Linked DNA regions of Saccharomyces cerevisiae S288C. Changing the gene in region 1 together with any one later gene gives a genetic interaction. Each region holds a gene or a part of one and is shown in the gene's direction. Other genes may lie near its edges. The genes, in order: RFA3, MVD1, CLN3 and ZNF1.

What was found.
Region 2: mutations in RFA3 (region 1) and MVD1 together harm fitness more than expected from each alone (negative genetic interaction), as found in Saccharomyces cerevisiae (one large-scale study listed by BioGRID).
Region 3: mutations in RFA3 (region 1) and CLN3 together harm fitness more than expected from each alone (negative genetic interaction), as found in Saccharomyces cerevisiae (one large-scale study listed by BioGRID).
Region 4: mutations in RFA3 (region 1) and ZNF1 together harm fitness more than expected from each alone (negative genetic interaction), as found in Saccharomyces cerevisiae (one large-scale study listed by BioGRID).

Annotation. Positions count from the first base shown.
Region 1 is NC_001142.9:95,630-98,170, reverse strand, and holds RFA3 (Rfa3p), read left to right. Parts: upstream 1-1,641; coding exon 1,642-2,010; downstream 2,011-2,541. Other genes in the region: CPS1 (Gly-Xaa carboxypeptidase), read right to left, coding at 1-434; KRE9 (Kre9p), read right to left, coding at 2,249-2,541. UniProt on the Saccharomyces cerevisiae protein: As part of the replication protein A (RPA/RP-A), a single-stranded DNA-binding heterotrimeric complex, may play an essential role in DNA replication, recombination and repair.
Region 2 is NC_001146.8:700,204-703,658, forward strand, and holds MVD1 (diphosphomevalonate decarboxylase MVD1), read left to right. Parts: upstream 1-1,691; coding exon 1,692-2,882; downstream 2,883-3,455. Other genes in the region: MRX15 (Mrx15p), read left to right, coding at 1-257; COQ2 (4-hydroxybenzoate octaprenyltransferase), read right to left, coding at 338-1,456. UniProt on the Saccharomyces cerevisiae protein: Diphosphomevalonate decarboxylase; part of the second module of ergosterol biosynthesis pathway that includes the middle steps of the pathway. MVD1/ERG19 converts diphosphomevalonate into isopentenyl diphosphate.
Region 3 is NC_001133.9:65,215-69,192, reverse strand, and holds CLN3 (cyclin CLN3), read left to right. Parts: upstream 1-1,672; coding exon 1,673-3,415; downstream 3,416-3,978. Other genes in the region: holocytochrome c synthase CYC3, read left to right, coding at 1-477; Rho family guanine nucleotide exchange factor CDC24, read right to left, coding at 3,789-3,978. UniProt on the Saccharomyces cerevisiae protein: Essential for the control of the cell cycle at the G1/S (start) transition. CLN3 may be an upstream activator of the G1 cyclins which directly catalyze start.
Region 4 is NC_001138.5:26,356-30,145, forward strand, and holds ZNF1 (DNA-binding domain containing protein), read left to right. Parts: upstream 1-1,876; coding exon 1,877-3,274; downstream 3,275-3,790. Other genes in the region: YFL051C (uncharacterized protein), read right to left, coding at 3,703-3,790. UniProt on the Saccharomyces cerevisiae protein: Transcription factor that regulates respiratory growth and plays a critical role in stress adaptation during non-fermentative growth.

The DNA of each region.
Region 1 (2,541 bases):
TTGACTTTCTCCAATTTCAAATGCTTGTGAATATTAGGGAAAGTCTTCTCAAAATAGTCGTGTAGTTCATAAAAATGCTTATAGAAATCCGGATCATCTGCGGGGTTGGGGTTTTTGTCTTGGACTACAGTGGGGATTCTAACAGCATTGGACAGTTTCTCAATGGAGCTGTTTCTAAAGGCAGGGTCATGAAGAATTGTGTCGACGGAATGTTTGAATGATGGACTTAATGGTTCAATCTTCTCACATTTGGGTGAGTGCATGGGACCTTTTCCATGGTGTGGACGCTTTGCCTCATGAGGTGGTGCTGGGTGGAGACCCGAAGTGAGGAAGAAGGTGCCGATGATAATAAGGGCAACTATTCCACTAATAAAGGCTCTGTGCCTTTGCCATAGGGACTTTCTAGGGGCCTTCTCTACTGGTAAGGCGATCATAATGTAATTGTTAGATGAATGATTCCTTAATGTGATGATGCAGGATTAGTTTTACAATGGGAAGAGACGTATTTGGGGTACCCGTTTCTTTTATATGTCATAAACTTTCTTGCCCGACCTTGGAAGGCTGTATCGTATTTTGCCCAAAGGGGAAAATAAAAGGCCGCTATGATAAGATAAGGGTGGCGAGGCTGAGATAACAAGAAGATGTTCTGAGCATTGAGCATTTAGGATAACAGTGCACAAGATCACGCGGTTCAATTCGTCACGTAAAGCTACTAGAAGTGGGTGTTTCTAGTAGCCTGCAAAAAGCGTCGTTCTAAAGAAACTTTTTTCAATGACACATTTACTGAAAATAGAAAAAGACTATCTATTCGTAGCTGATTTTCAAAATCCGTATGGGAAATCAGAGGTTATGGAACTGACAACGTCGTAGGAACAAGCGATATGCAAATCCCGGTGTCGCTTTGTTTGTGTATCGCTAAAAGCTTATATGCAATACTCGCGAAGGTACTATAATCCCTTGGACTAGGTCATCCCAATTCTTTGTCTTTATCAGTAAACTCTTATCTTACCTTTGGTCTCAAACTGGTATTTTATTTGCTGAATATTAACTACCACTAGGGATTACTCGTAAAATTATGAAAAAAGTACCATATGAACTCCAATAACGGTAAGTGATCAATAGGGAACAGCAAGTCTCTTCTTCTTTGCAACGTCAAGATTGATCCTATGCTTTCATAATTTCCCTACATGATGGCAGTCATACTCCAATTAAGTGCTACAAGAAAGAGGCCTTCGCAACAACTGTGTCAACGCTTGCAAGTGCTAAATTGTACTACAGCACCAGTGGTATCTCCTATAGTCAGTTACATAGTAAAATATTCAGAGGTCCATTACATAAATATATATATATATGTAGAGGCATCCATCCATGTTTGTCGATGCAGCTGCAAGCACCCAACAAGAACAGATGACAGCCAACAGTCGTTGACTAACGTAATGGGCCACTGCTGAGAAGCATCCACCGCCCATGCCATGGTTGGAATCATGACAAGTCGCCCTATATAATGCCTTCGTTCTTTAATATTGACGCGCCAAATGTGGCAATACGCGATATTTTTTTCGTTCGTGTTTAAATAAAGAGCAATATAACACACCCTTCACCATTCTTGTAGAACATCGTCTACCAGTAACACAAGTAAAAATGGCCAGCGAAACACCAAGAGTTGACCCCACAGAAATCTCCAACGTCAATGCTCCTGTGTTTAGGATAATAGCGCAAATCAAATCACAACCCACTGAATCTCAGTTGATTTTACAATCGCCAACCATATCATCGAAAAACGGCAGCGAGGTTGAAATGATTACGTTGAACAATATTCGTGTATCTATGAATAAAACATTTGAGATCGACTCGTGGTATGAGTTTGTTTGCAGGAACAATGATGACGGCGAGCTAGGATTTTTGATTCTAGACGCTGTACTATGCAAATTCAAGGAGAACGAAGATTTAAGCTTAAACGGTGTGGTTGCTTTACAGAGACTATGTAAGAAATACCCAGAAATATACTAGCTAAAATCGCTTTTATTCTTACCTTTATGTACTGTTGCCTCTATATGTCTTCCCTTCATATAATAAATTCCATTTCTAAAAAAATTGTAGTTGTGTTTATAGATGTATAGATAGATAAATGAATGTGTACTTGCTGCCTTAACGCCTTCCGCTAAAAACTTTTTGATATTTATTTTATTTTTAACCTTTCCTGACTTCAACCCTTACTGTAATGATGATAGTAGAAGCCGTCTATTTTTCATACTTTTCTCATGTTGATTTTCCTTGCAGACAAAGACAATCTCTTGGATGGTTTGTACCAACCACCATTATCTGAAGGCATAGATGCAGGAGTAGCGTAGTTTACTCCCGATGATATCGTATAAGACCAGCCAGGAGTTATCGTAGTTGCTTGCTCTGGCAATGACCCAAAGGTAGAGTAATATGTCACAGCACTAGTGGCAAATTTCCTTGTCCATGTGGTAGCGGTCACTTTAGTATTTGGCTGCATTTGCATTGGAGCGAAACGCGACGTACCAGTCTGCTTGGTGT
Region 2 (3,455 bases), on another chromosome or scaffold:
ATAAGGCCACCTTTGTTTTCTTCACAGTGGATGAAAAAGCACCCTCATTTTTCAATAAATTTTACATTTTCTCGAGATCTGGTAGCGTTGTGAAGAATGACGCCAGGATCTTGGACTGCTTTTTCAACAGTGTGGCAGAAAATAAGCTATTGAACAGGTCAATATTAACTCAGATCCTTTCACATACGTCTGCCAAGACCCTATTTCACTCGGGGAATTCTAGATCATCCATCAAGAATATCGTGAAGCCCAAATAGGTACGGACATCTACGTAAGAATGCATGTAAATAATAATCGAATAAAAGAACAATTAAACACTTGTATATGCACGCTATATCTACAAGAATCCAAACAGTCTCAAGATGTAGTCGACTGCCAAGGCGTACGTAAAGTAAAGTCCGGTGTTGATATTTGCATTAAAATACTTCCAGCAGTTTTTAGGATTGTCAAGATCCACTTTCTTTATCATGCTGAAGAGTCTATAAGCGAAGACTCCTAGTCCACCAATGAACCCAGGCCCCCATAACAACCCACTGTTCAAGCCGGCGACAGCTAACAGTGCGATTTGAGACGCGGACATGGCCTTCATGATAGACTTTGTGCGTGGACCCCAAGCCAAAGCGGTAGACTTGATTCCAGCCTTGATGTCAAACTTTTTATCCTGGTGTGCGTATATAGTATCGTAAGTCATACACCACAAGTAACTGCTCAGGTACAAAGGTATCATTGTAGGCCAGCTCATTACACCCATGGCAGGAAACCCAAGTAACGCTCCCCAATTGAAACATGCACTTAATGCAGCTTGAGGATAGTACGTAAACCGCTTAAACAAAGGGTATGTGAACACAATAGGTAACGATGCAAGGCCTAGCCACCAACACTGCGCAGGAAGCAAAGATAGAACGCCCATTCCAACAAGAGTTTGAGCCCCCAAGAATACTAACGCCCGACGGGGGCTCACTCTACCAGAGGCGATAGGCCTCTCGACGGACCTGATAACTCTTTGATCCAACTTTCTATCCAAAAAATCGTTGATGGTGCAGCCAGCACCTCTCATTACCAATGCACCTACACCGAAAATACCCAACATACCAGCTGTTGCGCTCAATGTAGCACCTTGCATCATGGCTCCCATAAGTATAGACCAACTGCAGGGCAAATATAACAGCCACGTGCCCACGGGTTTCTCTAGCCTCATCAGCTCCGCATACGGTATCCATTTCTTAGGCAGCCGAGACACGAACGGTCCCAGTCCATCCAATCTTTCCTTTCTTGCAACTTCCAACTCTTTCGACGTAAACACAGGTGCTGATTCTTTCGAGGAAGGGGAGGAGGAGGAGGAGGAAGAAGACGTATATCTCTTTCTGCTGCTTCCAATGATTCCAGCAACGGTAACTCGGCCGCTGCCCAGAATGGACCTCCCTAGTAAAATACTCTTTCTCTGCCAAATAAACATTAGTTGACACTGTTATTCTACGACAGTTATTTCTACTGTAATCTATAGTATACTCCGCCCTTCTGATAACCTTACTTTTAATTTTGGCCTGATTCTTGTGAAACTTTTCCACGATGCCGAAATCGCCGAAATGGCTCGTTTAGCCTTTTCTCGAAGATTGATATATAAAGAGCATCCATCGTGCTGGTAATGGTGATGCAAGATTGAAAATTCCCAGACAGTGAGCACCAGCACAATGACCGTTTACACAGCATCCGTTACCGCACCCGTCAACATCGCAACCCTTAAGTATTGGGGGAAAAGGGACACGAAGTTGAATCTGCCCACCAATTCGTCCATATCAGTGACTTTATCGCAAGATGACCTCAGAACGTTGACCTCTGCGGCTACTGCACCTGAGTTTGAACGCGACACTTTGTGGTTAAATGGAGAACCACACAGCATCGACAATGAAAGAACTCAAAATTGTCTGCGCGACCTACGCCAATTAAGAAAGGAAATGGAATCGAAGGACGCCTCATTGCCCACATTATCTCAATGGAAACTCCACATTGTCTCCGAAAATAACTTTCCTACAGCAGCTGGTTTAGCTTCCTCCGCTGCTGGCTTTGCTGCATTGGTCTCTGCAATTGCTAAGTTATACCAATTACCACAGTCAACTTCAGAAATATCTAGAATAGCAAGAAAGGGGTCTGGTTCAGCTTGTAGATCGTTGTTTGGCGGATACGTGGCCTGGGAAATGGGAAAAGCTGAAGATGGTCATGATTCCATGGCAGTACAAATCGCAGACAGCTCTGACTGGCCTCAGATGAAAGCTTGTGTCCTAGTTGTCAGCGATATTAAAAAGGATGTGAGTTCCACTCAGGGTATGCAATTGACCGTGGCAACCTCCGAACTATTTAAAGAAAGAATTGAACATGTCGTACCAAAGAGATTTGAAGTCATGCGTAAAGCCATTGTTGAAAAAGATTTCGCCACCTTTGCAAAGGAAACAATGATGGATTCCAACTCTTTCCATGCCACATGTTTGGACTCTTTCCCTCCAATATTCTACATGAATGACACTTCCAAGCGTATCATCAGTTGGTGCCACACCATTAATCAGTTTTACGGAGAAACAATCGTTGCATACACGTTTGATGCAGGTCCAAATGCTGTGTTGTACTACTTAGCTGAAAATGAGTCGAAACTCTTTGCATTTATCTATAAATTGTTTGGCTCTGTTCCTGGATGGGACAAGAAATTTACTACTGAGCAGCTTGAGGCTTTCAACCATCAATTTGAATCATCTAACTTTACTGCACGTGAATTGGATCTTGAGTTGCAAAAGGATGTTGCCAGAGTGATTTTAACTCAAGTCGGTTCAGGCCCACAAGAAACAAACGAATCTTTGATTGACGCAAAGACTGGTCTACCAAAGGAATAAGATCAATTCGATATGTAACATTTTTCTTTTCTTTTCTTTTCCTTTTTTTACAATAGCTAATTTACGTTTCCCTACGGTATTGGTCGGAACGACCAAGCTTCAATTTATAAATATCTTAATTTTAACAGCAGTTACCACTTGAATGAGAAACTTTTTGATGCCTACTCTTTTGCTTTTTCATATCATGACCTCCCTACATGCTTCGGAATTTCCTTATTCGTAGCTGTCTAACAGCACCACTTAGCACAAGTACGTCCACCCGTTTCATACTTAAAGATCTCAGCAGCCACCCAATCTACATTTAGGGTACCTGTCACATATCTTCTCAAATTTTAGGTTAGCTTTCAATTGTAAAGTCTCTTTTTGGATATTGCACGTTTCAAGTCAAAACGCGGCTGTAACATAATTTTCTGAAACAATATTAAAACATAGTAATGACTTAAAACAAGCGACTATCGCAAATAAGCAGTTCCCAGCAAGCAATTAAAACGTATATAAGCGCAGAATAATGATCTATCATCAATAATTATCGTGAACTTTTCCAGTATTTACGTTCATCTTTGAAAAACGGCG
Region 3 (3,978 bases), on another chromosome or scaffold:
GGTAGCGGCGAAGTCGCCGAAGATGCAGTGGAGTCCATGGTGCAGGTCCACAACTTTCTAAATGAAGGGTGCTGGCAGGAAGTGCTCGAATGGGAAAAACCGCACACAGATGAAAGCCACGTGCAGCCTAAGTTGCTGAAATTCATGGGGAAACCGGGCGTATTGAGCCCTCGTGCTCGCTGGATGCACCTGTGCGGCCTACTGTTTCCGTCCCATTTTAGCCAAGAACTACCATTCGACAGGCACGACTGGATTGTACTCCGAGGCGAGCGCAAAGCGGAACAACAACCTCCAACCTTCAAGGAAGTTAGATACGTCTTGGATTTCTACGGAGGGCCCGACGACGAAAACGGAATGCCTACTTTCCACGTGGATGTCCGTCCTGCCCTAGATAGTCTAGACAATGCTAAGGACCGGATGACCCGTTTCTTGGACCGGATGATCTCGGGTCCGTCCTCTTCGTCCTCCGCCCCTTAAATGATATACAGCCAGCGTAAGTACGTGTAAATAGCCAAGTAAGAAATAATGATGTCCTAGTGCAGCCACAATCAATTTCACTTTTTCATATATATTTTTCCACCTTATTATCACAAGGTGCACCTTTATCGTGTGCCACGGCGGTAAAAAACTACCTTCAGGGGTACGATACATTCTGTGCTGGCGACCACGGGGCTGACAGAGACACCCGTAGAGGCTACATTACTGATTTGGGAAATTTCCCAAATTGGAAATATCACCTCGTCGACGTGCTGCGGTGCATGGCTGTTTTACCCGTTTAGGAAAAAACTCGGCGGGTTTTCTTGACGGGCAAATGTCGCCATTCGTCTCGTTTGAACGCTTGGCCTGTAAAACAGCTAACTCATTCACTATCTCTATCCTGCGACCGTGATGATACCGAAAGTATGCTGATACAGATCGGTCCCTCATATCGCGATAGGGCTTTCTGAGCTCTCCTCCCCCTTCTTCCCTCCCCAGCCAAAGAGGCCGGTTTTCCTTCTGGGGAAGTGTCGCAACCAAACGCTGTGCTCAAACCCTAAATTGTGAACTTTCAAGAAAAAAAAAAAGAAAAAGTGAAAAATTATCAGGCAAGAAAAAGAAATTACCAAGCCTGCTCTCACTGTAATGATCAAGTTACATAAATTTACTATCGGATTAGTGTGTCCCTCTGCCACATTTCCATATTTGGCCTTGGGTTTTTGCCCTCATCTTTTTTTTTTCTTCCTCCTACCTATTTATAATTTGTATATCTGTACTTTCCTCGAGCTTTTAATCTTCTTCTTAAACATTTTCTTGTGTAGTATACTTTCACACAATTTCTTTCTTGATTTTTTCTTCTACTACTGAGTCTGCCAGTCAAATGGATTTCTGAGGAAAGAGGACTATACCCATTAGGAAACGAATTGCCCGAGTAGTCTCCTCTGCCGACTTAAACCAACCTTTTTCTATTTCTCTTTTCTTTTCTCCCTCTTTTTTCTCTGTACTAGCATCCAAAAGCAAGCATCCATCCGAGTCCCAGTCGCAATCTCACATCTCCAATTTAACGTATCCATTGCATTTCCTCATTCGGTTTAACTCCTCTGCATTTCTTTTCTGACCCATAGCATTTCTTACATTCCATTGCATCTCCCTTTTACTCTCGTTCAAGACACTGATTTGATACGCTTTCTGTACGATGGCCATATTGAAGGATACCATAATTAGATACGCTAATGCAAGGTATGCTACCGCTAGTGGCACTTCCACCGCCACTGCCGCCTCTGTCAGCGCTGCCTCATGTCCTAATTTGCCCTTGCTCTTGCAAAAGAGGCGGGCCATTGCTAGTGCAAAGTCTAAAAACCCTAATCTCGTTAAAAGAGAATTGCAAGCACATCACTCAGCGATCAGCGAATACAATAATGATCAATTGGACCACTATTTCCGTCTTTCCCACACAGAAAGGCCGCTGTACAACCTGACTAACTTCAACTCTCAGCCACAAGTTAATCCGAAGATGCGTTTCTTGATCTTTGACTTCATCATGTACTGTCACACAAGACTCAATCTATCGACCTCGACTTTGTTCCTTACTTTCACTATCTTGGACAAGTATTCCTCGCGGTTCATTATCAAGAGTTACAACTACCAGCTCTTGTCCTTGACCGCGCTTTGGATTTCGTCCAAATTTTGGGACTCCAAGAATAGAATGGCCACTTTGAAAGTCTTGCAAAACTTGTGTTGCAATCAATATTCTATAAAGCAATTCACGACTATGGAAATGCATCTTTTCAAATCACTCGATTGGTCCATCTGTCAGTCGGCAACATTCGACTCCTACATCGACATCTTCTTGTTCCAATCTACGTCCCCGTTATCGCCTGGCGTTGTCCTTTCTGCCCCTTTGGAAGCTTTCATTCAACAGAAACTGGCCTTATTAAATAACGCTGCTGGTACTGCTATTAATAAATCGTCCTCTTCTCAAGGCCCCTCTTTGAACATCAACGAGATCAAATTGGGTGCCATTATGTTGTGCGAGTTAGCTTCCTTCAATCTCGAATTATCATTTAAATATGATCGTTCACTAATTGCGCTGGGTGCAATTAACCTCATCAAATTATCTTTGAACTACTATAATTCAAACCTTTGGGAAAATATCAATCTGGCTTTGGAGGAAAACTGCCAAGACCTAGATATTAAATTGTCAGAAATCTCTAATACTTTATTGGATATAGCAATGGACCAAAATTCTTTCCCCTCCAGTTTCAAATCAAAATATTTGAATAGCAATAAGACATCTTTAGCAAAATCTCTCTTAGACGCATTACAAAACTATTGTATTCAATTGAAACTGGAAGAATTCTACCGTTCACAAGAATTGGAAACCATGTACAATACTATCTTTGCTCAGTCCTTTGACAGCGATTCATTGACTTGTGTTTACTCAAATGCTACTACTCCAAAGAGCGCTACGGTTTCATCTGCGGCCACAGACTATTTCTCGGATCACACTCATTTAAGAAGGTTGACCAAAGATAGCATTTCTCCACCATTTGCCTTCACTCCAACCTCATCTTCATCCTCTCCATCTCCATTCAATTCCCCTTACAAGACTTCAAGTTCAATGACGACCCCAGACTCTGCATCACACCATTCACATTCAGGTTCGTTCTCTTCTACCCAAAATTCTTTTAAAAGGTCACTGAGCATCCCACAAAATTCAAGCATCTTTTGGCCAAGCCCACTAACTCCCACCACCCCATCTCTAATGTCAAATAGAAAATTATTACAAAATTTATCTGTGCGTTCAAAAAGATTATTTCCTGTTAGACCCATGGCCACTGCTCACCCATGCTCTGCCCCCACCCAACTGAAAAAGAGATCAACTTCCTCTGTGGATTGTGATTTTAATGATAGTAGCAACCTCAAGAAAACTCGCTGAAACGACAAAAAAAAAATGCATTTAACAACAAATAAATTAAAATTTGCAAAGCAAATACGTTAACATACATTAATGATCTTTTTTTCTTTTTGTTTTCACAGGACTCATTATTTCTTTAAATATACTTATATTACATTTGCATAGAATTACAAAAAAAAAAAAATTATAAAAACGCACAACCTAAAATACGATTACTATCGTTTTTTCTCCTTACTTCCTCTAGTCACATTATACATTTTTTTTCATCCTTCACAGACGTATCTTAATACTAAGTGTGGATCAATATAATGGGTATAGCTTGAACATCTGCCCCTCTCTATCTAATGTTTTTTTCTTGAATTATTTAGTATTTGCTGTATACTAGTTTTATTTATCAATACAGACGAATGTTCAAGAATTTCTCATTGTTTTCCGCCAACATTTCTTTAGCAACATTCCAATCTTCATCGCTACCTAACACAACAAAATCCCCATCTTCGTCCTGATATTTGATCTTGGTGATTGGTGAAATGTTGTTATTATGTGTATTCGAAATTTTAGAATTGATCGCCATTATCAAGTCG
Region 4 (3,790 bases), on another chromosome or scaffold:
TTGCCTATTATTTTTTCAAATGATTTGAGCCGTTTTAAATTGAGTATGCAATGAGTCTTTTGAATCAACCGTAAGGCAGTTCCATAACCACTGCCACGAATACGTTTCACTACCTTGAAGAATCTCTAATGTAGGCCGTATTCTTCGCACTTAGTTCTGACGATGTAGACATCTCATTATATAAGAGCATAAGCGCCTGTTTCTAGAATCATTTCTTCGTGACCCAGCTTTTTGAGTTATTTCGCGGTATTTTGAAACATTTCTCGAGCTTGACGTGAACATCCTTATATTTCATGACAAACTCGATCATTGGAACATCCCTGCCTCGATTTTAGAGCTAGTATCAAATTTCAATCTCTTTGTGATGGAGCCCCGCTCCTATTTCAAAAGAGAAGTTTCTTGTATGCATATGTTATTGAAGTCTGATTATAGCAAGTGCAATGTCGTCTCAATTATTTTAACTATTTTTAGCCATACATGTTAGTTATCCTCAAAGAGAGCCTCCAGACTGGGAAGCAGTGTTTGTCATTTCAAATAAGTAGATTTCACAGTTTGTATGATTTTCGAAGCCAGGATTCATTGGGCTTTGAGTAAAGAGAAGCCGCGTATTACGAACAGCTTACGATATTGTAAAATATTCCCTTATTGTGGTGCCCCAATGGATACATGCCAGAGAAATGTCTGTGAAATTGAACAATTACAATGACGAGAGCAAGTAATCCGGCGGCCTTGTCTCTCTTTCACTAGTACCGTCTATATCTCTTGAGCGCCAATATGCGAAAGCTTTCACAAGGTTGATGTTCATGGTATTCGGCGTCGATAGCGAATTGCTTACTAAGAAACATTAGGGTGCAGTACAGCCTTGTTTTTCCAGTTCGACTAACCTTTTTCTTGGCAGTATGGAGACTGACTAGGTCTCCCAAACATTCATTGTAACTGCTGTTTAAAGATTTTGTTCTAACCTAAATTCAAGTGAGAAGCTGAACATGTGTCTCTACTTATGATATCACGACAGCAAATACTAATCTTGCCATAAATAGTCTAGCGTTTTGCAACTTACCTCTAGATATATTTTATTTCTTGAGGAACCGTTTTCGTCGGTAATAACAAAATACTACTGAAACGCCACAGCATTGAGAGAATACGTTATCGATTACGGCTTTCTTCTCGCTCCAGATGTCGCGGGTAAGATATTCACCTCAAACTTTTCTTGTTGAGTGTCGTCACAAATCTAGAACCTACATGCCATCTCAACGATTTTTCTGGAGAAAGGCCTCACTCCGTTCCGTACGTAATGCATAGATAAAGTATCAGGATCTTCACGATGCTCGAGAGTTACTTAGTAGTCTGAGTTTATGCGAAAAAAACTCCGCCGTTGTAATAATCGGGAATACACAGAAGTAGTACTGCACTATCACTGGGATACTCAAAAACCTTCTTTTTAACTTTTCTATCCCACAAATAGAACATAGGAAAGAACATTGACTCCTCCACTTGAAGTTAAATTACAGGAACAAACGCCTAACTATAATTTCGACATTGTTGCATCAACGAATCGACCGAAAGAAAAATCTGGAGTTGCAGTTATCACTTGTATGTGCACTAAGATTTATATTTTTACTCCTGAGATCTGCCAAATCGGTAGCTTATTGAACTGCGTTCCTTTTTCCCCTGAGTTCTCGAGGTACCTGCGGCTTTGTCTGTGCCATCTCCCCCACTTTAAAGTACCCCACGTTACTACCGCGTTTTTCCCCACCCCCGGCTTAATAAATTAGCTATATCTTGTTGACTTAAATACGGAGAAAAGAAGAAAACCTTCAAGAAATGCTTCATTGTCTTGTCAAAAGAGCTAAAGTAAAAGAGCTCTAGTTCGAAGATGGCCCGCAATAGACAAGCGTGCGACTGTTGTTGCATTCGTCGAGTAAAGTGTGATCGTAAAAAACCATGTAAATGTTGTCTTCAACACAATCTGCAATGTACATATCTTCGACCTTTGAAGAAAAGAGGTCCAAAACCCGTCAAGGTGAGAAATTTAAAGAAAGTAGATGATGTACAGGTATTTAGTAAAAGTAGTAGTGGTGGCATAATGAAGGTTCCAAAGGCACTAATTGATCAGTGTCTGCGGCTCTATAATGATAAGTTGTATGTGATCTGGCCTTTGCTGTGTTATGATGATCTTTACGAACTTTTAGAGAAAAGATATGACGAAACCTGTGTGTATTGGTTCCTGGTATCTCTTTCTGCCGCCACGCTTAGCGATTTGCAGACTGAAATTGAGTCGGAAGGAGGGGTTACCTTTACTGGGATACAGTTATCCAGTTTCTGCATGTCATCACGCCAAGAATTTGACGATTTTAACGGTAGTGATATATTCAAGATTATGACGTACTATTGTCTAAACCGCTGCTACGCACAGATGTCCAACTCAAGAACTTCGTATCGGCTTTCTTGTGAAGCCGTGGGGCTCATTAAGTTGGCGGGGTTCCATCGCGAGGAAACTTTGAAACTTCTTCCTTTCGATGAGCAGCAGCTTGGAAGGAAAGTTTATTATTTGCTTCTCTTAACGGAAAGATACTTTTCTGTGTATACGCATTGCGCCACGAGCCTGGATACCACGATTGCTCCACCACAACCGGAGAACGTAACGGACCCCCGACTATCTCTCGACAGCTTCTTGGAGATGATTAGGGTATTTACTGTACCGGGAAAATGCTTCTTTGATGCTCTAGCTACCGACTCTGCTAATGTAACCTGTACTGAAGACTCCCTTAAAAAGATATGGAGGGAACTTCATACGGTGCCACTTGAGATAGAACCATGGTCTTACGGCTATGTAGACATATCTTTTTCACGGCATTGGATTAGAACACTTGCTTGGAAGCTAGTGCTTCAAATAAGCGGTATGCGAATCAGTTTCCTTTCAAATAGCAAGAATACGCATATTCCAGTAGAAATTGCTAGAGACATGTTAGAAGACACATTTTTAATCCCAAAAAATCTTTATGCAGTTCACGGTCCAGGGATATCAGTGAAAGCACTAGAAATAGCCGACGCATTGGTAGATGTTGTGAATCAGTACGATCAAAATGCAGAGTCGGAGGCTTGGAATTTTTTGTTCGATATATCCAAATTTGTCTTCTCTCTTAAGCATTGTGATAGCACATTAGTTGATAAGTTTACGACAAAGTGTCAGTGTGCGCTTATCACGCTTCCTCTTTCTAATCCGCTTGAATCGACAGATGGTTCTAAAGAAGATGTAGATGCGCTTCCTTAAGTAAACACATTGCTACTTGCATTTTACCTTTCAAGATGTAGTGATTACGGACAGTTGAAGAGGCTAATAGCATCTATTTCTTCTTTAGTATATGGTTCCTGCAGGGCAAACAATTATTTCCTTTGCAATTTTGCGGCAGTGGGGAAGAATGATAGCACTAATAGTGAACTTGTGGACAATTATGCTATTATAGCAAGAAAAAAAATTTATTTTTTTTTCAAGGGGGGTGATTGTGATGTGAATTAAATCAAGGATATACGCTTTTATCGTCATGATAGTCGTGCGATTTGTACTTGGTTATAGATGAAATGAGTTAGTTTTTAATAATTGTGATCACAATATAGCTGTACTTATCAGGCCATTAAAGTTTCCTGTAAGGTGCACGAGAAGTCATGGTCATAAAATTATCAGAATCTCCAAGGAGAGGTTCAACGGCGTCGGTTGCCCATACTCCATATTAAGTACCCTGTCATTTCCACAGTTACATTAGTTGGAGTAGTATAGAAACCAAAAAGA